Linked DNA regions of Macaca fascicularis. The protein of the gene in region 6 interacts with the protein of the main gene of each other region in a pairwise test. Links are inferred from orthologs where the notes say so. Each region holds a gene or a part of one and is shown on either strand. Other genes may lie near its edges.

The links.
Region 1: the proteins of MTUS2 (region 6) and RTP5 interact in binary tests that used the Homo sapiens proteins (3 or more experiments, as listed by UniProt). The two-hybrid records come from large-scale screens. The link is inferred for Macaca fascicularis from reciprocal best matches to the Homo sapiens genes MTUS2 and RTP5.
Region 2: the proteins of MTUS2 (region 6) and TTC23 interact in binary tests that used the Homo sapiens proteins (3 or more experiments, as listed by UniProt). The link is inferred for Macaca fascicularis from reciprocal best matches to the Homo sapiens genes MTUS2 and TTC23.
Region 3: the proteins of MTUS2 (region 6) and TEAD4 interact in binary tests that used the Homo sapiens proteins (3 or more experiments, as listed by UniProt). The link is inferred for Macaca fascicularis from reciprocal best matches to the Homo sapiens genes MTUS2 and TEAD4.
Region 4: the proteins of MTUS2 (region 6) and RAB3IL1 interact in binary tests that used the Homo sapiens proteins (3 or more experiments, as listed by UniProt). The two-hybrid records come from large-scale screens. The link is inferred for Macaca fascicularis from reciprocal best matches to the Homo sapiens genes MTUS2 and RAB3IL1.
Region 5: the proteins of MTUS2 (region 6) and SHFL interact in binary tests that used the Homo sapiens proteins (3 or more experiments, as listed by UniProt). The two-hybrid records come from large-scale screens. The link is inferred for Macaca fascicularis from reciprocal best matches to the Homo sapiens genes MTUS2 and SHFL.
Region 7: the proteins of MTUS2 (region 6) and LENG1 interact in binary tests that used the Homo sapiens proteins (3 or more experiments, as listed by UniProt). The two-hybrid records come from large-scale screens. The link is inferred for Macaca fascicularis from reciprocal best matches to the Homo sapiens genes MTUS2 and LENG1.

Annotation. Positions count from the first base shown.
Region 1 is NC_088386.1:137,802,071-137,806,250, reverse strand, and holds the start of RTP5 (receptor-transporting protein 5), read right to left. Parts: upstream 2,801-4,180; 5' UTR 2,773-2,800; coding exon 2,615-2,772; intron 810-2,614; coding exon 1-809.
Region 2 is NC_088381.1:84,144,450-84,148,679, reverse strand, and holds the start of TTC23 (tetratricopeptide repeat protein 23), read left to right. Parts: upstream 1-1,430; 5' UTR 1,431-1,612; intron 1,613-1,652; exon of another isoform or gene 1,653-2,047; intron 2,048-4,230. UniProt on the Homo sapiens protein: Participates positively in the ciliary Hedgehog (Hh) signaling.
Region 3 is NC_088385.1:3,905,657-3,909,156, forward strand, and holds part of TEAD4 (transcriptional enhancer factor TEF-3), read left to right. Parts: intron 1-377; coding exon 378-517; intron 518-1,524; coding exon 1,525-1,698; intron 1,699-3,500. UniProt on the Homo sapiens protein: Transcription factor which plays a key role in the Hippo signaling pathway, a pathway involved in organ size control and tumor suppression by restricting proliferation and promoting apoptosis.
Region 4 is NC_088388.1:12,084,769-12,087,922, forward strand, and holds the end of RAB3IL1 (guanine nucleotide exchange factor for Rab-3A), read left to right. Parts: intron 1-576; coding exon 577-643; intron 644-1,587; coding exon 1,588-1,670; 3' UTR 1,671-2,654; downstream 2,655-3,154. UniProt on the Homo sapiens protein: Guanine nucleotide exchange factor (GEF) which may activate RAB3A, a GTPase that regulates synaptic vesicle exocytosis. Promotes the exchange of GDP to GTP, converting inactive GDP-bound Rab proteins into their active GTP-bound form.
Region 5 is NC_088393.1:10,638,155-10,640,359, forward strand, and holds the end of SHFL (shiftless antiviral inhibitor of ribosomal frameshifting protein), read left to right. Parts: coding exon 1-58; intron 59-527; coding exon 528-760; 3' UTR 761-1,044; coding exon of another isoform or gene 1,045-1,235; 3' UTR 1,236-1,705; downstream 1,706-2,205. Other genes in the region: ANGPTL6 (angiopoietin-related protein 6), read right to left, coding at 1,045-1,235, 1,809-2,079, 2,153-2,205.
Region 6 is NC_088391.1:9,338,526-9,342,025, forward strand, and holds the end of MTUS2 (microtubule-associated tumor suppressor candidate 2), read left to right. Parts: intron 1-473; coding exon 474-687; 3' UTR 688-3,448; downstream 3,449-3,500. UniProt on the Homo sapiens protein: Binds microtubules. Together with MAPRE1 may target the microtubule depolymerase KIF2C to the plus-end of microtubules. May regulate the dynamics of microtubules at their growing distal tip.
Region 7 is NC_088393.1:61,962,034-61,966,128, reverse strand, and holds the start of LENG1 (leukocyte receptor cluster member 1), read left to right. Parts: upstream 1-1,295; 5' UTR 1,296-1,318; coding exon 1,319-1,450; intron 1,451-2,564; coding exon 2,565-2,744; intron 2,745-3,500; exon of another isoform or gene 3,501-3,597; coding exon of another isoform or gene 3,598-3,657; intron 3,658-3,741; coding exon of another isoform or gene 3,742-3,903; exon of another isoform or gene 3,904-3,913; intron 3,914-4,004; coding exon 4,005-4,095. Other genes in the region: voltage-gated chloride channel TMC4, read left to right, coding at 10-165, 471-549, 642-710.

The DNA.
Region 1 (4,180 bases), on a different chromosome or scaffold from region 6:
CCGCAGGGACAAGGCCATTGTTGAGGGAGACGGGGCCCCAGCCCTGGGCCACGCCAACGGGGCTACAGAGGGAACCCCGGCCCTTGAAAAGGAAACCTTTGAGCTCGAAGGTCTGGATACTGCTGCCGAGGAGGCCGGGGCCATGGAAGAGGGGGTCTCCAATGGCCACTGGGAAGCCTTTGCCCCCAGGCATGGCCACAGAATCCCCAGACAGGTAGATGGAGCCCTGGCCAATGACCAGAGCCCCATGGCTGCCGGTCACAGGGAGAGAGGCCTCCTGTGAAAGAGAGGCAGGGATTGCAGGGCCCTCAGCGATGGGCACCTGGTCATTGCTGGCGCGCACAAGGGAGAAGGGGATGGCGATGACACCACCACCCTTGCCGAGGTCATCGCCGGAGGTGGGCAGCTGTTTGCCCCTGGAGACGGCGCCGGTGCCACCCCAGGCCATGGCAGGGAAGTTGCCTGTCGTGGTGTTGGTGCTCCAGGCAGGGTCTGGGGCCTTCTGAAGGAAACAGACCCCCAGCTCGCAGGCCTCACAGCAGCCCTCGTAGGCCTCCCTGGGGTGCCGGGTTGGGCCGAGGCCATCCCCGTAGCAGTCCTGCAGGATGTGCAAGACCAGCCTGCTGAGGAAGGGCCGCTCGCCTGGGGGCCTCACCTGGCAGTCCCCGGGCGCAGGGCACAGCTTGCACCGCTGGCCCCAGATGCGCATCTTCACCAGCCCCCGGCGGCCGGCCCTGTCCCACCACAGGTGGAAAAGGACATGCACGTGGGCCGAGTCCCAGGTCCCCGGACAGCGACTGCACTGGAGCCTGCGGGGGAAAGAGGTGCGTGTGAGTGCAGCAGTAAGAGACCCCAAGGCCGGGCCTCGCGCTCTGTTCTGTGGCCTCCTTGCCCATCCGACCCCAGCGCCTCGCTGCCCCCTGCCTCGCATCCCACACTCAAACCCCAAACCTCAAACCTCACCCGCCAGCCACCCAGGGCCACGGCCAAGGCGGCCCAGCACCTGCTCCTGCCTGTGCTGAGGCTCTGAAACCACCAGCCCCTTGGCCACACGGGCAAACGCAGGCCCATGCACGCTAGCTTGCAACCCCCTCATCTGGAGCGCTGTTCTCAGCAAAGCAAACCTCTCAGCAGTTTTGCAGCAAAACCCGCTCTGGCCTGGCCTCTGTGAGGTGTCGGCCACCTGCCGCCCGCGTGGCTCTGCTGGTGTTTTGTGAGTTGGGGTTAACACAGGAAGAGGCAGGCCAGCTGACACACTTAGAAGGGGAAAAGCATGCATCTGGGGGCTGTCCCTGGGGGCTCAGCAAGGGGGGTCCCTGTCCTGACTGAGAGGAGGTGATCCCCCCGTCACCTGCCAGCTGAGGGAAAGGGCGTCACTGAGGCCTGCGGTCATGGCCCAGGCAGCCCTGCTGGGCGTCGCCAGGCGAGGGGAGATTTGGGGAGAGCACTGGGAGAGATTGGCTTGTCCACAGCAGTCACCAGACCGGTGACCATTTGCTAACCACACAAGCAGCTGTGAGCTTCAGGGAACCCTGCATGAATGAGAGGCTCTGCTTCAGTTCCACGCAGTGGAACTTTCTGGATGACAGAATGTTCTATAGCCACACTGCCCCACCTGCAGCCGGCAGCCACACTGGCCACAGAGCCCGTGGACACGGTCGTGCTGGAGGAACTGAACTGCTGACTGTGTTTAAATGGGACTGAGGAGCCTGCCAAAGCCACAGGCGCTGGGGCTCATGTTGGGGCACCCGTCCTCAGTTCTCTTCCGCCAGCTGGGAGTCACTCAGAGCCATCTCCGCCTGGCTGTGGGAACGGTGATGTGCTTCCAAGCACTTCTCAGACCCCAACACGGGTTATTACTTTCCCAACTTCTGAAAAAGCTGGGATTCTACACACACCTGGCCCCAGGGGTCTCAGGCACTAAGGGGCTGTGTCCAAGGGCAGGATGACTCCCCCTTTGCCCAGGGCATCTCCACAGAGGGACTGACCAGCCGGCAGCCTGGGGGCCTGTCAGGCCGGGCGTCTGCGAGGCTGTGGAGCTGCCCTGCGCCCCTCCCGGCTGGCTCCTGGCAGAGCTGTGGATGCCTTGCCGGGTAGAGAAGCAGATGGGGCCCACCCTGTTGTGCTGACGGCACCACGACCATGACGATGGCCCGTGAGGCTCACATGTGACTCACAGCCACCCCGGGCCCCCGATCAGGGCCGAGCACCCCACCGTCTGCAGCGCAGGGCTGGATGGTGACCACAGGCACCGGCACGCCCCAGGGCCCACCTGTCAGCACAGACAGCTTCGAGGCCACGGCACTGCCATGGAAACAGGAGATAAGCCTGTGTCCACGGGCAGCGCTGGCCTGAGGAGCCGAGTGAGGGAAACCAAACCCTCCACGAGGCACCTGCCATGTCTTCCCCGGGACCCCTGCGTCAGCAGCCGTGTGCCCAGCATGGCGAGGCAGAGGCTCAGACGGGAGAAAGAAGGAGCACCCAGTCCCCCCTCCCGTCTCAGGGACAAGAAGAGGCCCGACAGCCCCACCCAGCCTCTGGGACCACCCAAAGTCCTGTGGAAAAGCACCTTCAGCCCCGTCCCTCTCCCAGGGTCCCCAGCCTCTGGCCGCACCTCGAGAGCCCCACCAGCAGGTACTGGACGCCACCGCCGTCCAGGCGTCCTGGGACCAGGCTGTGCTCAGGTAGCAGAACCCAGACGTCCTGGGGTTTCCTCTCGGCCATGGCCAGGGTGAAGGTGCTGGCCCACATGTCTGCCCCAGCCCCGTCCATGCTGCCGCCTGGCTCCGCAGTGCGGGCTGAGGGCTGCGCCCGCCGGGGGCCCAAGGAAGCATCCCTGCATCCGGCGCCGGCCAATCAGCCACCTTGACAACAGCACGGTCTCCATGGCAACCAGATTTGTCTCCAAGAAATGGGAAGCAGAAAGGAAAAATACAATACAATGCAATCTCCCATGACCCCGCCACCCAGAGAGCATCCCTGTGGCAGCAGCACCGTGGGGGCAGCAGCACCGTGGGGGCGGCAGCACCGTGGGGGGCCCGTGGACACGCAGGGGCCTCCCCAGACCTGTGCGTGTAGAGGCCCAGGTGTTTCCACACATCGCTCTAAGGAATCATCCCCAGCCCTCTCTTTCTACTGCGCACCAGGAACGGTGGCCCACACTCATCCCTTGCTGAACACTTCGTATTTTTCCAGCTTGTGGCTGTCATGTAACTTATTCACTCAGCTTCTCTCTGCAAACAGCACTAACGCTTTTCACACAAACAAAGCTGAGAAGAACTTTATAGAACGTGTATCACTGTAGATTGTCCCGTGGGTGTATTCTCTTAAACGTTTTACTAGTGAGAAATATAAAATATTTACATAAAATGCCTAAAACATAAATGCAGAGTTTCACAAATTATTCTAAAGTCTTAGTCACCACCTCCCAGAGGAAGAAAGAGAACCTCGCTCTGCCAGCCTCCAGAGCCGACTGCCTGTTCGCTCCCGATTTCAGCCCGCGGCCCCACCCCCACCCCCCACCCTCCTGGCAGAGGTGCCACCAGCCTGGCCGTGCCTGCACGGACCACGATGAGGCTTCAACACCTGTGATGCCTCCCTCACCGAGCCCTTTAGCTGTGCAGCTTCTGAGCTTCACGTAAACACCCCATGTGTGTGCCCAGCTTCTCACACCTTTTCAGGTTAGTTTGTGAGATTCAGTGGCATCGCTGTGCATGGCAGCCACCTGTCAGGGCACAACAAGAAAGGGCGAGCTGAGAAGGAGCTGGCACGTGCAGGGGCGGAGGCAGCCGGCGATCCCTACAAAAGCTCAGCACAGATCTGCCCCCGGGAGCCTCCAGGCCGCCCGGCTCTCCTCACAGCTCCCATCTCACCATCTCTCTGCTCTGCACACTGAACAATCTCTTCTCATTTTTCTACCACTTCACGCATTATCTCCTCGTCTCTGTCCACTCTGCAGCTCACGCTGGCAAGTGAGTGCATGTTGTCATAGTTTTCAAATCTGTGACATCTTCCTGCCTTGCAGGTAGGTGTGACTGCAAGATGGAAGAGGAAGCCATTAGGAAGCGCTCTGGGAAGGGGCCTCCATGCAGGGCCAGAGTGCCAGGGAAAGCCCCGTGTTCTCATTCCAGCTTCACTTTCTTCTGTCCATCAGTGCTGGGAGGATGGCCGCCCTCCAGCC
Region 2 (4,230 bases), on a different chromosome or scaffold from region 6:
CCCGCCCGCGGCTCTACTCTTGCTTCCGGCTCCGGCGTGGGGTTTGATGTCCACGGAGTGGCTTTTTGTTTAGCGTTTTGAAGGGGTAATTTAGCCGGCTCCAACCTCGGGAGCCGCCAGTTACTGGCCTGTTCCTTCATTCATACATTCATTCAGTCACTCGGCCTCTCATTCAGTAGCACACGTTGAGGGATTACAGCAGTGATCCCACGTTGAGCGTTCATTCTAAGAGCTGTTTATAGATTATCTCGTTGAACCCTTGACAGCAATCCCGTGACACAGGGACTAACAGCACCAGTCTGACGGTTGAAAAACAGGCCAGTGAGTTTATGTAACGAAAGCAATGTTAGCAAGTAGTGAGTCTAAGCACTAGATTTAAGGGGTCACTGCGCACTGGTAGATAACAAAGATGAGGAGGAGGTAACCTAGTCTCTGCCCTTCAAGCACCCAAGGTTTATTGTGAGAAAAGATTGCTACAAAGGACAGGAACAATTTAGAGAGTTAAATACAATGACAGTTCCTAGCATGACTGAGTAGGCTGTCATTATGTATTTCTTCAAGACAAAAATTATGTCAGCGAAATAGCATCAAAGAAAGAGAGTTTTATGCTGTTAAAAATGCTTGGAAGCATAGTTCGGAAACATTGTTAAGAGACACTTTTTAAAGTGTCTCAATATGACAAATTTCCTTCTGAAATGAAGGTTTTAAAGTATTTTCCTCTACTGCAATCGCTGATGTTTTTTGTTCCGTGAAAAGCCTGTCTGTTAATTTGCGAGGCTCCTTGTCAAGGAACCTTAACTTTATAATGAAGCAGTTTTACAGTGGCTGACTTAATTACTCTTAGAGATGAATAACCTAGAAAGCAGAGTTACATTAAATAAAAAACATTGGTTTCAAAACAAGGTATGAGTTATAATAAAATATTTATCAGTTATCTGTTAAATTTGGTCTTCAAGAGCTACTCAGGTATAGAGCACAGTATATGTCATGTATTTCTAAGATAGTTTCATAATACTTAAGAATTCGTGGCACTCAAATTTTTTGCTGGTCTTAAAATGAGGAAATCCACATTTTGTGTAAAAACAAAGATACTTTTGTGGTCAACCCAAATAATAAGACTTGCTGCTAATATATGAAGAGGTACACCCCCCAAAAAAGAAAGAAGATTAACAATAGAACAGTTTTTTCAAAATAATGTTAGCCTCTTAGTTTTCATTTCTTTTTTTTAAAAGGGGAATACCGTTTTTCAATGCATTCATTTAGTATCTGATATTTGATCATGAAAAATGAATCATGTTAAAATTACTTTCACCTCCTCCCCAGATTGACACAAAAGTTACCAAGTGATTATATGTGAGAGTATCCTATGACCCCACTCTTAGAAGTTCTCCCAATTTGCAGAGAATCAATTTGCACGTTTTGTCTCTCTCGAAGGGGGAAAAAATTCTCTAAGCTGGTGATTTTACATTCTTTGACAAACTTCAATAGCAACAGGCAGCGATACCCCTTTAAGCAAATTGCAAGGAAAAGACCTCATTTTAAAATTCCCACCTCTGGCTCCCAAGGATTGGTTTGCAAACTTCGACAAAATACTCTTCTCCACTCGCTATTGGTGAGTGCCCTATCATTCATTCTTTTGCCTGGAGTTTTGTGAGGTACCCCCTTGCTTTACGGGAAAAAACTGCTCCGGAACTGCCCTACTTTAGACTTTTTCATGGTTATCAATCTGTACAAAGAATCACCAAACTGATAAAGCAGGAACCAAAAGGGCAAGTCACGCTGCCAAGACAACTGTGTCATTCGCTCGAAAAAGAAACGGTGAGCCTCCCCAGCAGACTGGGTAAACCGGCAAAGGATTTTACGACATAGTTGGAGATTGGAGAGTTACAGAAACTTTTACGATTTTGTTTTTGTTTTTTGTTGTTGTTGTTGTTGTTTTTACAAGTTTTAAAGGAGTGATTGAGTGTCAAAAGAAAAGCAGAGAAAAATACAAGCACAATTTAAAGATAGCAGGAAGAAGTGTTCCGAGAGTATTTTTCTCTTTAGGGTAAGGTTTGAAAGCATCATGCCCAGATTATCAGTGGATTTTTGAAAAGTAAAGGAGGCAAGATAGTAAGATTAACTATAGATCATTTTCTACTTTAAGAATCTGTGCTTCGTTTTTGTTGCTTAAATGGGGATTTAGAAGGACATTTAGTAATATTGTAATTTTTAAATGAATTTTTTTTTGTATATTGTCATACCTGGTATAATAGATAATGCATCTATTAAAAGATATAAGAGAAAATAGAGTTGCTTGAACCCAAATTTTGTGTATATCTGTGGATTAGGGAATCCAGGGACAGATCTGCTAATGGCTAAATAAAACATACTATAGATACCTGAAGCAGAATCAGCATGTAAGGATAAATTCTCAAAAAAGAAATCTAGCATCGTATTTTCAAAAATGGCATTTTAAATTAAAACAAATATAAAAGAGAATTTATCAAGGAAACATAGATAAACATGAATAACTATTTCTTGAGTTGCTTCTGTTAATCTATATAGGGGAATATAAAGTAATAAAATCCAGCCCCTCAAGAACAGGGACAAATGAGGCTCAGAACATTTAAACTAAAACTTCTGAACAGTTCTTAATGCCCAGATGACTGTTGTAGAGCACAGATACTTCAGGAGCTCAGCTCAATGTGAGATGAATTATTCAGAGAAGGCTTCACAGTATGGGTAAGACTCAATTTGGGCCTGAGCAATGGGCAGAATTTCAGAGAGGAAAGAAGGGAAGTGGCATCCCTACTAGTGAGTGAGTTGTTAGCAAGTATGTGCAGCCCGAGGAAGAGCTGGCTCTGACTGCAGCAGAAGGTTCATTTGGAAACTTTGGTTAAAAATTTATAAAAACAGCATGAGAAAAATGAAAAGCTAGAATTCCCAAAATCAAGGGTTTTGGTCCTGTGTCTGGAACAGGAGGCACACCTTATGAAAGTAATATTTGAAGACGATAAAACTGACAGTGCAATTTAAGATGACTACAAGAACAGAGACCAGAAGCTAAGGGGCCTCATACTGTAAATACTGGCACACAGATGAGTAACCCTGCTTCTTACCCAAATACATTTACCTTATCATTGCTGAATAATATAAATTTTGATGCATTTCTTTGTAGTCTTCGAAAGCATTGAGTTTACTTCTTAAGATTTTTGGGGACCTCTGCCACATTGTTTTGGGGAATCATGGTTGCCCCATCTTTATAAAAGTCTTGTCATAAGATGTATAAAAACCAGAATTACACATGAAACTGCATTGCGGTTTCATACCTATTTTTTACCAGCTTTAATGAAGTATAATTTATATATTATAAGGTTCATTTAAGGATATAACTCAATGATTGTTTTAGAAAATATAATAGAGTTGTACAACCATCACCACATTCCAATTTCAGAAAATTTTCATCTTCCTAAAAAAATACTTTGTGCCCATTTGCAGGCAAGTCCTGGTTTCCTATCCCCAGCCCCACTCACTAAAAAACTTTCTGTCTATAAATTTACCTTTTCTGGGCATGTAAATGGAATTACACAATATGTGATCCTTTGCATCTGGTTTCTTTTACTTAGCATAATGTTTTTCAGGTTCACCCATGTTGTAGTATGTCTCATTACTTCATTCCTTTTTGTTGCTAGGTAATAATCCACTCGATGGCAAGACCACATTTTATTTATTTAACAGTACCAGTTAACAGACATTTGGATTTCTTCCAGTATTTAATGATAGTGTTTAATTGTACTAATTGTAATTGTATTACAGTAAATACAGTACAGTATTTAGCTATTATGAATAATGCTGCTATGAAGATGGGTACAAGTTTTTGTATGAACATGTGTTTTCAGTTTTCCTGGGTGTATATCTATGAGTGGAATTACTGTCATATGGTAACTCTGTATGTGTAACTTTTTGAGGTGTTGTACAACTGCTTTCCAAGGTGAATTCCCACTTTACATTTCCACCAGAGTGTATGAGGGCTCCAATTTGTCCACATCCTCACCAACACTCCTGATGATCTGTCTTATTCATTTGGCTGGATTTTAAGTGGTATCTTATTACAGCTTTCATTTGCATTTTCCTAATGACTGATGATACGAAGCATCTTTTCATGTGCTTATTGACTATCCATAGATCTTCTTTTGTAAAATGTCTTTCAAATATTTTTCCTTTTTTTTTTAATTGGGTTGTCATCTT
Region 3 (3,500 bases), on a different chromosome or scaffold from region 6:
GTGATAGTTGATTCATCTGGTTATTTCCCCGACGGGAACAGAAGTTGCTGGACAGCAGGAACTGAACAGTGCCTGTTCTGGAAGCCGTGGTCCTGCAGGACCCCAGTTGCCCTCCAGAATCCAGTCTTGCTGGGCGGTTCCATGCAGAGTCCTGAGCGGCCTGAGTTGTACCAGGCGAGCCCCTCCCCACCAGAGAGGCTCCAGGATGCCCAAGCCTTGCACTCTCTCCTCCACCTCTGCTAGGAGGTCCGTTTAGGGAGACAGGCGGCCCCCCAGGCAGCACGGGTCTGTCCGAGGAGGCCGGGGGTCCTTGCAGAGGGTGCGGGCAGGGCGGGTGTCCGTGACCAGGTTCCATGTGCCTCTCTCACTTTGTGCAGGGTTTGAGTCTCCTGCAGGGCCCGCCCCATCGCCCTCTGCGCCCCCGGCACCCCCGTGGCAGGGCCGCAGCGTGGCCAGCTCCAAGCTCTGGATGTTGGAGTTCTCAGCCTTCCTGGAGCAGCAGCAGGACCCGGACACGGTAGGTCCTGGCCTGTGCCTGGCTGGCTCCCCGCCACCCCCTCTGCCTCTGTTTCTGCTTCCAGTGCTCTTGTCCCACTCCACACTGGGGCTTAATTCAAGTTCCTTGTTCCTTTATGGTCTTTCCTTCCATCCTTCCCCCGACTCCTTTCCTCCTTCACGTCACCCCCTTCCCTCTTTCCCTCCTCCCTGGCCCAGTGCCCTGTTCCTCCCTCCCTGTCCTGTGTTCCTCCCCTCCTAACCCAACCAACCCTTAGTCCAAGGTCGCTGTGGTCCCAGCCCCACCCCCACACTGTCCCAGCCTTTCCCTGGCTCTGAGAGGCAGGCAGGAAGCTGGGGAGTCTCCTGTACGTCTGCTCCACATCCTACGGGATGCCAGCCTGTCCCCTTCAGTGTCCAGTGTCCTGGGTGACCAGCGTCACCTGCAAAGATCAGAGGGGGACCTGGAGGAGGCCAGCGTGACAGGATGCCAGGGCCCTTCTCACTCTGACATCTTCAAACTTTTTTTTTTTTTCTTTTCTTGAGACAGAGACTTGCTCTGTCGCCCAGGCTGGAGTGCAGTGGTGTGATCTCAACTTACTGCAACCTCTGCCTCCTGAGTTCAAGCGATTCTCCTGCCTTAGCCTCCCGAGTAGCTGGGATTATAGGTGCCCGCCACCACACCTGGCTAATTTTTGTATTTTTAGTAGAGACTGGGTTTCACCATGTTGGCCAGGCTGGTCTTGAACTCCTAACCTCAGCTTCCCAAAGTGCTGGGATTACAGGTGTGAGCCACTGTGCCCAGCTCAAACTTCTTTTTAACTGACGACCCTGTGAACCGAATAGACTCTTAGAAGTTCAGGATGTAAAATAAAAGAAGTCTTTTACCATCTCCATTTCACTTACGGGGAAACTATGGTCCAGAAAGGCCAAGCGGCTTGCGCCGGGTCACGTGGTGGGCATGCAGAGCTGGGACTGTCTGACCGTCTGGCCTGTGCTCCGCCTCCCTCAGACCCACTCTCTCTACAGTACAACAAGCACCTGTTCGTGCACATTGGCCAGTCCAGCCCAAGCTACAGCGACCCCTACCTCGAAGCCGTGGACATCCGCCAAATCTATGACAAATTCCCGGAGAAAAAGGGTGGACTCAAGGAGCTCTTTGAACGGGGACCCTCCAATGCCTTTTTTCTCGTGAAGTTCTGGGTAAGCCTGTGATAAACTCTTCCTTCCTACCACCAGGGCGTCCGTGGTAGTGAGAATGGGGCGAGAGTACCCAGAGCGTGCCCTTGCCACAGTAGAAACTTGGGGAGGTGGCACCAGTGAGAAGGGGAGAGCAAGCCCAGCATGGCTATGGGGTGGTCAGAGCTGAGCTGAGGAACAAGGCGGTGATCCCAGAGAGCTGGCCTAGTCGAATGAAGCCTTGTCTCGTGGGTGGTGATGGCAGCTAACCCCGGCAAGACGTGGAGCCCTCAGGAGGTGAAGTTCCAGAAAAAGACAAAGGGGACCCTACGGGGATGAGTGAAGACATTATGAGGAGCGCCCTTGTCACCCAGGTCTTTGAATGACAAGTCCTGCATGGGTTTCTGGGCCTGGAGCTTGTCCTTCAGTGCTCATGTCCAAGGCATGTTGGGCTGAACAGAGCTTGGAGAAGGGGAGGGAAGTGTTGGATGGGCGAGGCCACCCCAGAAGAAACACCCACCCAACTTCTCAGATAGCTCAGCCCATAGACTTGGCCTCTGCGGCCCTCCCACCTCACCCCTGGGCAGGTGTTTTGTGGGTAGAACCCCCTCCATTAGAAACGTCTTGTCTGAGGCCCAGAGGTACAGTAGCTGCCCTGGGAGCTTAGCTTCCTGCGGGCCCAGTATGTGCAGAAAAGGGGTGCGAGGAGAGAGTCAGACAGATAAGTGCTAATGAAGCCAGCAGTGAGGAAGGACAGGAAATCAGGCTCTGTGACTGAGGGTTGGAATATTCTCAGGACATGGACTGAGGTTTTGGTGGCTCTGCCCGCATCCCTCTTCCCCACTCCCCTTCAGCTCTCTGCACACTCTTTTCTTTTTTTTTTTTGAGACGGAGTCTCGCTCTGTCGCCCAGGTTGGAGTGCAGTGGCGCGATCTCGGCTCACTGCAAGCTCCGCCTCCTGGGTTCACGGCATTCTCCTGCCTCAGCCTCCCCAGTAGCTGGGACTACAGGCGCCTGCCACCACGCCCGGCTAATTTTGTTTTGTATTTTTTTTTTTTTTTTTTTTTGGGACGGAGTGTCGCTCTGTCGCCCAGGCTGGAGTGCAGTGGCCGGATCTCAGCTCACTGCAAGCTCCGCCTCCCGGGTTTACGCCATTCTCGTGCCTCAGCCTCCCGAGTAGCTGGGACTACAGGCGCCTGCCACCTCGCCCGGCTAGTTTTTTGTATTTTTAGTAGAGACGGGGCTTCACCGTGTTAGCCAGGATGGTCTCGATCTCCTGACCTTGTGATCCGCCCGCCTCGGCCTCCCAAAGTGCTGGGATTACAGGCGCGAGCCACCACGCCCGGCCTTACACGTTCTTTTCGATGCCTCTTGTGCAGAGATTCTTACCATTTATTTGCTCCCAGGCCATTTTCCTAATCTGAAAGCTTTACTTTTCCTAGAAAGACGCGTATTCACACCAAAGTTTACATACACGTTCGGATGGCTTTGCCAGCTCCCAGTGAGCAGCCCCCAGCCTGGCTGTCACCCACAGCTGAACGTGGGGGCAGGCTGTCTCCAGAAGGGACAAGTGTTGGAACTGAGACCTATGGCCTCTGACCTTCAAGACACTTAGCGTTTGCGCTCAACTAGCAGGATGGAAGTTGGACCCCAGCCTGAGGGATGGGCATATCTGTTGGCAGAGATGGGCAAGGCTGTTGCAGCCTAGGAGTGCATGAGTAGTAAAGGCAGAAGGAAGTGAGCTCTGGAGTGAAGTTGAAGCCGTAGGTAAAGGTATGAAAGAGGGAATAAGAGGAGACAACTGGGAAAGTGAGTTACATTCTGGA
Region 4 (3,154 bases), on a different chromosome or scaffold from region 6:
TCCTCATAGCAGTGTCTGAGCCAACACAGGGTGCCCGGGGCCTGGCATGGAGCAGGCCTGAGGCTCCAGGGGCCCCGGGCAGCCCAGGTGAGCGGCTTCTGACCCCCTTTCCTTTCCTAATGTTATGAGTAGCACTGGACTGAGGCCTGGCTGGCCCAGACCTCCAGCATCTGGAGCAAGCCGGCCTGTGAGAAGGGTGAGCATAGACTCTGGGACAGGCTGCCCGGTTCATCTCGCAGCTCTGCTGCACGCTGGTTCATTAGCTCCGCCATCTCCGTGATGGATATCAGCAGCTTCCCCTAGGTGGTTCCGCATTCCCCCATGTAAAATGGAATAATAAGCGCGTCTGCTTCATTCGCTGCAGGCGCTTGATGAAATGGTTGCTGCTATTGTTATTATAACGGTGCTAGTCATGCTGTTGTTGATTACTACTTGAAAGCCCAGTCCCAGCTGAGTCAGGGAGCACTGCCTGGCTTTGCGGGGACCTGGGGCCTCCTGCTCTGGGCTCAGATCCGCCTGTCAGGGGATCCTGTGTGCGGGGCTGGCAGGTCACACCGTCCCCGCCTCTGCCCACAGATCACCGCAGTGTGCAACTTCTTCACCTACATCCGCTACATCCAGCAAGGCCTGGTGCGGCAGGACGGTGAGCGCCCCCTGGTGGCCGGTGCAGGGATGGCACACGGGAGTGGGGCTGGGTGGGGAAGCGGCCTCTGGGCCCAGCTGCCCCTAGTGGAGGGGAGACTCAGCTAAGAGGCTGCGGAGCGGGGAGGGCTGTGGGTTAGTAAAGGGTTCACACCATCCTCCTGGGTGCTGAGCTGTGTACCTGAGTCCGTCCGGCTGGTCTTTCTTCTGCCACCAAACCTCTCTCGGTCCTGCACAAGGGGTCACCCCTGTGAATCTCTCCCTGGCCCTGGTGTGGCCATCTCCTCCTGGTCACCTGAACACAGGCTCGCCCGCCTCCAGCCTTTGATCCCACTCTACTCCATGCTGGACAGGGCCTCCCTCCACCCCCTTCCCCCACAGCCCATTCTGCAAGGCCTGGCTCCCTGCTCCTCCACCAACTTTGCTCCCTGCTGAGTCTTCTGAACCAGTCTGGCCCCACCCTCTGAGTAAGGAGCCGTCTTCTCTCCATCCTGGGGGTCAAGTCCCCTTGGAGGCCAAGGCACGCTGGGTGTTGACGCCTGTTAGATCCCCGGATGGCCACTGTGGTCCCCCCTTCACTGCGCAGGGTCCTTGTGAGAGGGTCCCAGGGAGGCATCTGTGCCTTGTCTAATGTAGTTCCCAGGTCTGGACCACCGCTGTTGCATGTGACAGCGTGTGCCTGCGTGTCTGCATCGGGCTGTGGGGGTGGCCGTCAGTGTGGTGCAGACAGATCCCTCGAGTGTGGTCGACACGCAGCAGTTTCCAAGGCTCAAGAGTGGAGCCTCAGAGAGATCCAGCCACTCGCTGAGGTCATCTGTTTTGGGGGCTGGGGACCCTAGGGTGCTGTGCCAGCTGCCCCGTTCAAAGCCACGGGAGGGGACCTGGCCATGTGCCCGAGGTGGCCCTGAGCTGCCCCTGACCTGCCCGCCCTCTCTCTGCCTGCAGCAGAGCCCATGTTCTGGGAGATCATGAGGCTGCGGAAGGAGATGTCACTGGCCAAGCTCGGCTTCTTCCCCCAGGAGGCTTAGGGCACAGCCCAGGCCTGAAGGGGAGCTCTGAGACAGAGCAAACTCCCATCCCAGAACAAGCCGACTCACAGGGAGACGGGCCTGGAGCCAGCCCTGAGCCAGAGGCAGAACGGATGGACAGACAGGCCATGGAGGCAGCACTGAGCCAGCACCACATGTCCATCCTGGGACAGACAGAGGGACAGACGGGCCTGGACTTCACAGCAAGACCCCTCTCTCTTCCCCACTGGGTTCTGCCACCACCAGGAGGATTTCAAGAAAGCACCAAAGACCAGGGAGCTCGGATCCATACTCAGGGGGCCTCAGCCCTTGGGAGGGGACACCTGAGGCAGCCAGCGCCCCCTCCCCAGTCCCCAGAACCGCCTGCAGGTGCCTTGTTGCCGGCATGTCTTCAGAAGGGGACTGTTCGGGGTGGCTGGATCTCCAGGGTACCCTCCGCCCCAGCTGCCAAGCCCTGGGCCAGCGGCGCCCCCTTGTGGCCATCCCATGCCTTGTTCCCGGTGGCCTCCCTATTGGACTGCTGGGAGGGGCTGGCAGGGCCTCCGGAGCACAGAACTGCCCCAAAGCCTTGTTAAGATGAGTCAGGCCCCCCCTCCCTCCCTCCCCTCCTTTCCCCCTTCCTCCCTCCCCCTTCATAAAGGCCTCCCTTGTCACCTTCCCTCCCACCCCATCTCAGCCCTGTGCTCCTGGAGGCCCTGCTCCCAAAACCGCTGGAAGGATTGGGGCAGTTTCTCCCACAGTAGAACACAGACAGGGCTTCCGATCGCCCACGCCTGTTTTCAGCTGTGGGTGGCCATGCAGACACGCGCCCTGGCACGTGGGGCCTGGGTGGGCAGGCAGGACTGGGCCCTACTACCCATCAGAGCCCACTCGGGACCAGGGTTCAGGGCGCCCACCTGGACACATCCCTCACCACGTCCGGATTTCCTTCTTTGGATGGAATGTAACGCGATCTCTATTTAATAAAGGAAGGCTTTGTTGGTACAGGCTGGGTGGCCACGCGCCCTCACTCCTGCACCCTGGGGCTCTGGCCAAGGCTTGGGCATCTGAAGGAATGAAACCAAATCCTTTCCCTGCCCACCCTCGTGCTTGGGATTAAACCCAAATCCTGAAGCCACCCCACCTCCGCCATCACCACTTACTTGCTGTGGGGAGGACTATTGGAGTCCTCCCTTAGTATTCAGAGGGCTGTGGGTTACTGGGGGATGAGCCAGGCCTCCCTCTCCCCGTGGCTGGTGGCCTGCTGTCGGGAAGAATGGCACCAGGGCTGGCTCTCCCGCTGCCTCACTGTGGCACCTTGGGCAGGTCCTCCCCTGGGTCTCCTTGCCTCCAGCAGTGGCCTCCTCCAGTCTCGCAGAAGCCTGCAGCTCAGAGGCAAAGCATCCAGGCCGCCTGGTGCTCAGGGGGACAGTGACAGGATGGATTGGTGATATCTGCTGGAAGTACAGGCAGGGACCATGGAAGCTCTGGGTTTCCCAGCCCAG
Region 5 (2,205 bases), on a different chromosome or scaffold from region 6:
GATCGCCGCAGCACCCACACTCACTCCTGCTCGGCCGCCGACTGCTACAACCGGCGAGGTGAGGCTTTTCTCCTCCAACATCCTGGGCAGTCTTTGTCCCCTTCTGTGCCTTTAAGTCCCCAAATCTCCACTCAGTCCACTTCGTCTCCCACAGCAGCAGCCACTGCTTCTACGTGGCCTCCATGGCCCCCCAGTCTCCGTGGTCTTGCCCACGAGGCTCTGAGGTTTCACCCCAGTGGCCCATGCCTGAGGGTCTCCATGGCCTCTGCCCCCATGGTCTCTGGGTTTGGGGCCCCTGTTTTGTCCCCTGTAATCTCAGGTGACCCCCCATGTCCCCAGGTCTCCTGTATCTTCAACACCCCTGAATGTCCAGTTGTGCTGGTCCCCGTATATTGTGGCCTCAGCTCTTCCCTAGAGCCCCTCGTGGCCTCAGCCCCTCCCTAGAGCCCCTCGTGGCCTCAGCCCCCTCCTGCCCAAACTCTCATGGGACCTGGAGTCCCATGTCTGCAGCACCTCTCCCTCCCTAGAGCCCCACGTGCCTGGGACATCCTGTGCTCACCCCAAGAGCCGGAAGCAGAACCACCTGCCCAAAGTGCTCCACCCCAGCAACCCTCACATTAGCAGTGGCTCCACTGTGGCCACCTGCTTGAGCCAGGGCGGCCTCCTGGAAGACCTGGACAACCTCATCCTGGAGGACCTGAAGGAGGAGGAGGAGGAAGAGGAAGAGGTGGAGGACGAGGAGGGCGGGCCCAGGGAGTGACCCCTGCCAGGTGCAGATACAAACCAGACACGGTCTGTGGCTACTTTGTGTTATTATAAGATATGAGCTCAAACCGAGATATGAATGACCTTGGGGAGCCATCTGGGGCCAAGATATTGACAGGGGGGGATTCCTGGGGCCCATTTTCAGCACCCAGGGTCACAGATCCACAGTGGGAGGTTCTGTGGGACACACTGGCACTGAGCCACAAAGGTGTGGCCAGGACAACTTGAGTTCCTGCTGACCAATGTCCCCTGGGGCCTAGGGGACAGAGGAACAGAGAGTCACAGCTTCAGGGGCCGAATGAGCATGGCGGCCTTCCTGAGAGAGTATGCTCCACCACGAAACTCAGCCCAGTAGACACCATCCTGGTAGCGGCTTCGGTAGTGGCCGCCGCGGTGCCACATACCGTTGAGGTTGGAGTGGGCACAGGCATGGTACCACCAGCCTCCCCGCTGGTACAGGGCACAGTTACCTGAGGGGAGAGAGAGAGTCCATGTCCTCTCACCAGAATAAAAGTCTCTACCTGCACCTCACAGTGCAAGGCTTTTGCCAGGTATCCCCTGGCCCCTCCCATTCTTATTTAATACAAGCCCTGATCTTCCATCTCCTCAGCAAAAAAATAGGAGCCCTGGCCCCCCAACTTTCTTCGGAGTAATAGCCTTAATTCCTTCCCTATCTCCTTACCAAAGTACGAGTCACACCTTTCCCACTTTTTCTGCAAACTAGGAGTCTACCACTCATTCCTTTATCAAAGAAAAGAAAATTACCTACTTCCTTTCTAGATAAGAGTACTAGCTCTCACCCTCTGCCCTTCACTTGAACAGGAGTCTTGATTCTTTTTTTGCCTCATCAGAGAAGGAATCTGGACTCCCCATACCCCCACCAGGATAAAAGTCCTGACCTTTGTTCTCTTGACAGAATAAAAGCTTGCTTATCCTACTACTTACCAGAGGGGCGTCTTACCTACCCTACCTCCTTTCATTCCCTCACCAGAACAGGAGTCCCACCTCCCCTATCCTCCCACCAGAATAAGAGTTCTCCTTACCAGAATAAGAGTCTCGGTCCCTATCCACGGTGCTGAAGGGCTTGTCATTGTGCCAGGAAAGAGAGTCTCCAGCATCACCATGGTACTGGCCAAGCCGCAGGCGGTAGTGGTCGCTCTCAGGTTCCAGGGAGAAGCCATCATAGTGGGCACGTGCTCCACGGCCTCCCCAGTCTTCCAGGAGAACCAGCAGCTCATGGTCCCCACGGCTGGTCAGCTGATACACGGGTTCAAGGCCCAGCCAGTATTCTCCGTCTGGCCGCCCAAAGCCCGCCTGGCAGGGCAGGAAAGTCAGGAAGCCAGAACAGGCTCCCTCCCCTTCCCTGTCTCTGCCCACCTGTGCCCACCTTATAGTGCTGCCAGGTAGTGAAGAAGTTGACTGAACCATCTTGCCTCCGCT
Region 6 (3,500 bases):
GCAGGCACAAGCCTAGGGCAGGGAGGCCAGGAGAAGGCCCCCCCAGCTTCCCGGCAGGCTCAGGAAGGCCTGCGGCTCGTCGCTGCTCTTGTGCTGTTGTCATTGTGAATTGCCAGCTCCGCGGCTGTCTCTCCTTTGGGAGCCCCTGGCAGCACACCCACTCCAGCTCTCCACTTCCCTCCTTTCAGTCGCTGGCCTTTGCTCTGTCCAGTGGACAGCCAGTGCCCCCGCTGACCAGGCAGAGGGCCTGTGAGATGATGGCTGTTGGCCAGAGAGGCTCTGGGAACAGGTGTGTCATTGGGCTAAATGGAAATCATGACTCCACCAAAGTTCTTGGTCACTGGGTCGCCCTGGTCCCTGTTCTCCCTGATGGCATCATGGCCTCCTCCCTTTGTCCTGCACCCATTGTCGTGACCTCAGGTTCGGTGTCCACTAGCATGATTGCTACTTGTTTTGTCATTGTGCCCGTGCAGACAACTGTCGGAGGAAAACGCTAACCTCCAGGAGTATGTTGAGAAGGAAACCCAGGAGAAGAAGAGATTGAGCCGAACCAACGAAGAGCTGCTTTGGAAGCTCCAAACTGGGGACCCAACCAGCCCGATTAAACTCTCGCCCACATCTCCCGTTTACCGCGGCTCCTCCTCGGGGCCCTCCTCTCCGGCCAGAGTCAGCACAACACCCAGATGACGCCACTGCGCGGCCTGCGGGAGCTCCGGCTTCTCGTCCTCCAGTCTCCACCCCGAGGGAGCACCGAGCCGGTGCCGCCGGAGCTGGCCCTGTGCGCATGCTCAGTAGCTGCGAATGCATCCTAGGCGCGTCCTCCTCTGATCCCCGTGTAAGACTGCCCTGGTGTCGGCACTTAGGAACGTGTAAATGGTAAAGTCTGATGTGCAAACGTTTTACCATAGTTAGAGCCAAAAGAAAGACACTTGCAATTGTTCTTGAGCAATGAACTTTCACTGCAGAATTTCAGGTTAGTTACAAAAAGCTCAGTTTTCAATATACATTGAATAATCATTGTGTACTGCACCGATATGTGTGTATATTTAGATATACGTATATACACATGCTGCGGTTCTCAATTTCATTTTTTATAATATGAAGTGCTGACATATTTTAGTGAAGGTCAGCAGTTTTCTAACTTGTGCCTAAGAATTATTGGGAAATGAAAATGCATTTCTATCTAGCTTCCCAGGAATATTTCTACCCAAAATAGAAAAAGGAAAAAAAAATAAAAAAGATACAGAGAAGAAGCGCCTTTCAACTCACCACCAAGTGGTGCTCTCTTTAACACGAACACCAGCTATTTGTGAACGGTAACTGCCTTTGGAACAATCAGCTTCTTAGTCAACATGATGTGAGATCACTATTATTCCATTCGCAAGTTTTCATTATCGAGACTCCTGTCATGAGCGGCTGAGGGAGAGCAGTGGGAAACCCGAAGGGGGTTTAACAGTTCTGCAGACGTTTCTCATGACAGTGACTCATCTCTAACAGTCTTGTAAACACAGTTTTGCTTTTTTCCTAAATGGCATCTCAGACTCGGTCATTAAGCTATTGTTGCACAATCCGGAAAACAGGTTGCACCCTCCGGAAAACCTTTGAGAGAGAGTGAGGATGACCCTGCAGATGACCGCGCCCATTCGCGCTCCATCCTCATGAAGGAACTTGCTGCTAGGGTCTGTATTTTGATCAGGCACAGAGGGGGACGGCACTCCAGCTTGCCATGTGGTTCACTCTGACGCGATGCCGTAAATGATCAACTCGTTGAAATAGGACCCTCAGGCCCCCATTTCATAGCAGCCCCCACTTCAGTTTGGTTCTACAACTCAGCCCCTTCAGTGCACACTGAGATGGCTCAGGGGTTCTGGCAGGGGCTTCCAGAAAAACACACCGTTTCTGTCCCCGGGGAACCAGTTCTGAGCTGTGCTAGATCATCACACGACCACCCAGAAACCCACTTCCACCTCCTGCTGGATGATCAGCCAACGCTGCTGCTGACCGTGCGCCCATCTTAGACCCAGAAGGTTCTCCCAAACAGAGGAGCCCAGTGAAACAGCCAGCCAGGGGCCACCAGCTCCTGGACTGGCATCTGTCTCTAAAATGGTAGAATTAGGATATGAACAGTACTCATGTAGTGGTGTGGAAGATTAGGAGCATGATACACAAAAGAAAGAAGTAGTTTTAACATATATGGTGATGATGATGATGCGCTTGTTTCCTGTATGCGACAAAGACCCTGCACTTTCTCCCTGAGGCCCCCCAAAATTGTCCTGAGCACAGGCCTGTCTTTGAGTGTGCCCAAGGCGAGAAGAACCATGAGGGGATCCTGCAGGGGCCAGAGCCATGGAGCGGGGAAGAAACAGCCAGCGGACGGAGTCGGCTTGCCCAGGGCGCAAGTGTGGCCAACATGAAGGCAGACATGGTCCCTGGCCCTAGCCTGAGTCCAAGCTGAGCTTCCGGGCCTCGGGTACATCTCCAGCAAACCTCCAAGGGTCTTGCTCCTTCTGGGGACATACACAGTAAATCCACATGGAAGTGCCACCATTTCTCTTTGCTTTAGTGGCTCTGCATGATACTGTGATACTGAGTTGGGCATTCCATTAGAGTAGATCATGCCACATTGACTAAGTACACAATCATTTATTCTTGTAGCAGGCACAACCTGCAAACACACATTCGGTTCAGCTTAGCTGCCCGAATTAGGAACCGCTTACATAGCCGCACCTGCTAAACGCAGTTACACAGCAATACCGACTTCTGTGTGATGCTAGAACGTGGTACAGTGTGTTAGGCTGCTGTGGTCAGAGTTGTAGCATTGTTAGCACTAAGTAATTCCTCATTAGGTGGACTTTGGTGAGAGCTTTACCCTAACCCACCCTGACCTTGGGTACTTGAGCTAATTTCCACATGGCCCTGGCTTCGTGTTTTCTTTTTTTTTTTTTTTTTTTTTTTTTTTTGCTTTTTCTTTTGTTATGGACACCCATCGTGTATGGCTCCTCATCTGAGCCATCACTGCTCCAGAAACACATAGGGCAGCAGCTGCTGTGCCTCCTCCCCGATTCTTCCACCCCCCACACCATCAGAATTCAGATTTCTCTCCACGTGGTGTCTGCCTCTGTCCCTTTCCAGGCTGGAGCGACAATTTCCATGTTCAGATGCTGCAGCCTCTGCACCTGCCTCAGACAGACCCACCAGGTACCACCTGTCTTTTTGTGGCATTTGGGGGATGCATGGGCGGCCTGCCCCCCACCCCCGCCCCTGCCCGTCACATGCTGGGACAAGGTTCTGGCTGGATGTTAGAACGGATGGGGGTGGGGACAGCCCTGGCAGTGATTGGTTGAATGAATGGGGTCACAACATCCCTTTTCCTGCCCCTACAGTTTGTGTTGCATATTTGTGTTTAACTCTAAAGCCTATTAAAATAAACTTGAGGGACTTTCTGCGATACCTACTTGATTTAACTGGAGTCCTGTCCCTCTCAGGCTGGGGATTCCAGG
Region 7 (4,095 bases), on a different chromosome or scaffold from region 6:
TGACTTCAGGATCCCGCCTTCTAAGCCGTGTGGTCCATTCCGGGGGCAGTCGTCCATCTGGGCCCAGATCCCTGAGTCTATTTCCAGCCTCCCTGAGACCACCCAGAACTTCCTCTTCTTCCTGGGGACCCAGGCTTTTGCTGCGCCCCTTCTGCTGATCTCCAGGTGAGGTGGGCCAGACTTCTGGGTCTGGGTTTGAATGCGTGTGATCTGGGGGCCACCACCTGCGTCCAAGAGAGGAAAGGCTTGGGGGTGGGAGCAGGCGATGTACTGAGTCTGAGGGAGGAGGCCTAGGCTCCTGGACTGCTGGGTCCGAAGGAGGAGGTGGGCGGGACTTAGGACTCCTGGATCTGAACGCGGAGGTGCTGGGAGACTGAACTCCTTGAGCCTGGACGAGGAGGGACTTAGGGGTCCACATCCCTGACTTCGAAGAGCGTGTCAGGAGTGGCTTCCGTTCCTGTCTCCTCCAGCATCCTGATGGCGTACACTGTGGCTCGGGCTAACTCCTACGGACGCCTCATCTCTGAGCTCAAACGTCAGAGGGAGACGGTGAGCCAGGCGGGTCCCTGAGAGGGCCCCCGGGGAACACGGAGAGGGGCTGGGGAAGAGGGCTGTCACACCTCCACCTCTCTTTGCCGCAGGAGGCGCAGAATAAAGTCTTCCTGGCACGGCGCGCTGTGGCGCTGACCTCCACCGAACCGGCTCTTTGACCCCCGCAGCTCACGCCCCACTTTCAGACCCCAGGCCCATTGTAAGCCTAGGTCACAACATCTGTAAACTAGGAGAACTGGAGAAGACTCCACGCCCTTCCAGCTTTGGTATCTGGAGATTTCCAGGGCCCCTCGCCGCCACGTCCCTGACTCTCGGGTGATCTTTCTTGTATCAATAAATACAGCCGAGGTTGCTGAGCGCGCTTTGAAATCTGCGTCCTGAAGGTGGGGGCAGGGCTACCGCAGGGCAGGAGCCAATCAAATGTATGGGCATGTTTGTCGGTGCGGAGCGCACTTCCGCAAGGAGACTTGACGGTCATGTCGACCAATCGACGGCCGCATCTGGTAGCATCGGGGCGGGCCAACTTATGATTGGTTCAGATCTGTGATAAGAGGCGGTTGCTAGGGGATACCACGAGCCGAACGCCTAACATTCGCTGTGAAAAGGACGTCTCAGCCAATCACCTGTCGTTACAGGCCAGGGGGCCGTACCAACTAATTCGGAACCAATCTGCGGTCGAAGTAGGGACAAGAGGAAGGGGGGCATCCTCTCGCCAATCGGAAGTGCAAAGAGGCGGGCGTGCCAGTCCCTGGACAGCTACGACGCCATGAATATCTTGCCCAAGAAGAGCTGGCACGTCCGGAACAAGGACAATGTCGCCCGCGTGCGGCGTGACGAGGCCCAGGCCCGGGAGGAGGAGAAGGAGCGTGAGCGGAGGGCGCTGCTGGCTCAGCAAGAGGTAAGCTCGGAGGCCGGCCGGGCTGACCGCCGGAGCCCAGCGCGCACGCGCCGCGGTTGGGGGCCGGAAGCGGAAGCGTTGCGCAGGCTCAGTGTGCCCCGTGTGAAATTCGGGACCAGGCGCCGATCCCGTTTTCGAGGACGTTGCTCTGCAAACCTTGTGGCCACTTCCACGAAACCTCCCTTGATCTCGCCTTCGTCTTAGTTTCCCCCCACTGATGTATTTCACATGGCTGGAACAGTGTCTAGCACAAAAGAGCAGCTTAAAAACATTTAATGAATACATGAGCGCTTGGACAGTTCAAGGAAATTCGGATCACTTTTTAGTTTGCCTGCGCAGTTTATTTATTGAGCACCTATTGTATGCTAACTACATGCAGAGCGCCTGACTTGCGGAATCCCCAGGAGGCACTGTTCGTTCTTAGAGGGGCACTGTCATCTCCGTTGCACGGAGTGAGATGGCTTCAGTGAGGGGAAGGCACATTTAAGGAGAGGGGGACAGCCAGGCTCCACGCCATCGGGCGAGCCCTTTCCTGCACCGCCCCCTAGACACATACACACAAACACGGGCTTTCTGTATGGCTCCTTAAATCTGTTTGGTGTACACCCAACTTTCAGTTCCTTAGCTAGTCTGATCCTCCACAGTGGGTGGGAGGTAGTCTGGGTTTTTAGAATCTCAGTAGGCTGCTGAGCGCTGTTTGAAATCTGCGTCCTGAAGGCGGGGGACAGGGCTTCAGCAGTCGACTTGGGGTAGTGACTTGGAGCCATGGCTAGAATTCAGATCGTCTGGCCTAATGCAGTTTGGTCTACCTTTATGGCTGTTTTAATTGTCTCACTTGAGGTTAGGAACCCCTTTGGTTTAGGCCAGGGACCTCCTTCCAGCCATCCTTGATGACCCGTGGTTTACGATTTGAAAGGCAGTTTACAAAACCCAGGCGTTGCCTCATCTGCCTACCCTCACCCCCAGCTAGGACAGGTGCCTCTTTTAAGCGTCTAGTGCTCCCTTTCTTATAACCCCAGCACCCTGGACTGCCATTTTCTGTGGTGGGCACCAGACTCACAGTTCTTGAATCACCTCTAGGTTCTGAATGCCCTGCCTATAACTTTCTCCCCAGGCCCGTACAGAATTCCTACGAAAGAAAGCCAGACATCAGAACTCACTGCCTGAGCTTGAAGCAGCAGAGGCGGGAGCCCCAAGTTCTGGCCCTGTGGACCTGTTTCGGGAGCTGCTGGAGGAAGGGAAAGGAGTGATCAGAGGCAATAAAGAGTACGAGGAAGAAAAGCGACAGGAGAAAGTAAGCTGGCCTCACCCACTTCATTAGAGGAGCCATGAATCGAGTTGGGGGGAGAGGGCACTTTAGCCACTGCTTGTGATCAAGGTCAAACGAGAACGAACACACAGAATTTAGAACCATACCAAAGCATGACACTTAAGAAGTGTTGCCATCTGGGCACCCACAGGGCTTGGAGGTAGATGCTAGAGGTCCCCAGCTGCCAGGCAAACTGCTCAGTTCTCAAAACTGGAGGGGTCTGAAACCTTGATAGGCTTTTAAAAATGTAAATCAGCCAGCTGTGGCTCATGCCTGTAATCCCAGCACTTTGGGAGGCTGAGGCAGGTGGATCACCTGAGGTCAGGAGTTCAAGACCAGCCTGGTCAACATGGTATCTCTAAGAATACAAAAAAATAAGCCAAGTGTGGTGGTGCACGCCTGTAATCCAGCTACTTGAAGGCTGAAGCAGGAGAATCGCTTGACCTGGGAGGTGGAAGTTGCAGTGAGCTGAGATTGCGCCACTGCACTCCAGCCCGGGTGACAGAGCGAGACCCCATCTCAAAAAAAAAAAGAAAAAAAAAAAAAAAGGCGAATCATTCGCCTCTTGCCTTTTGGCTAAGATCAAGTGTAAAAAGTATGTCTGGTCGTGCATGGTGGCTCACACCTGTAATCCCAGCACATTGGGAGGCCAAGGTGGATGGATCACCTGAGGTCAGGAGTTCAAGACCAGCCTGGCCAAACATGGCAAAACCCCGTCTGTACTAAAAATACAAAAATTAGCCGGGCATGGTGGTGCGTGCCTGTAATCCCAGCTACTAGGGGGGCTGAGGCAGGAGGATTGCTTGAACCTGGGAGGCAGAGGTTGCAGTGAGCCGAGATGGTGCCACTACACTCGAGCCTGGGCAACAGAGCGAGACTGCATCTCAAAAAAAAACAGGTACATGAGCTCTTGTCACTCACCTGCTGTCTCTGGACTTGTTGACCCCACCCATGGCTCCTCTGCTTTGCTTGATCCCTTCAGGCTTCTCTTCAAGTCTCTCTGCAAAGATGCCTGCCTCTGAACACTCAAGTGGCTCCACTTGTCCCCTCCTTCCCCTGCTGTTACCTGCCACTGTCCCCCCAGGGGGAACTTGGCCTCTGTTGGTGTCTTCCATCCCCAGCACCTGGTACAACTGGTTCATGACAAGCCTTAGGTACCTGTTTGCTTAGATTCCTATGTCAGGGAGACACACCTGACACCTTGAAAGATTATATCCCATCTCTTGTATTTCCTGGCCCCCTCAGGAGAGGCAAGAGAAAGCTCTGGGCATCCTGACATACCTGGGCCAGAGTGCAGCGGAGGCACAGACTCAACCCCCTTGGTACCAGCTACCCC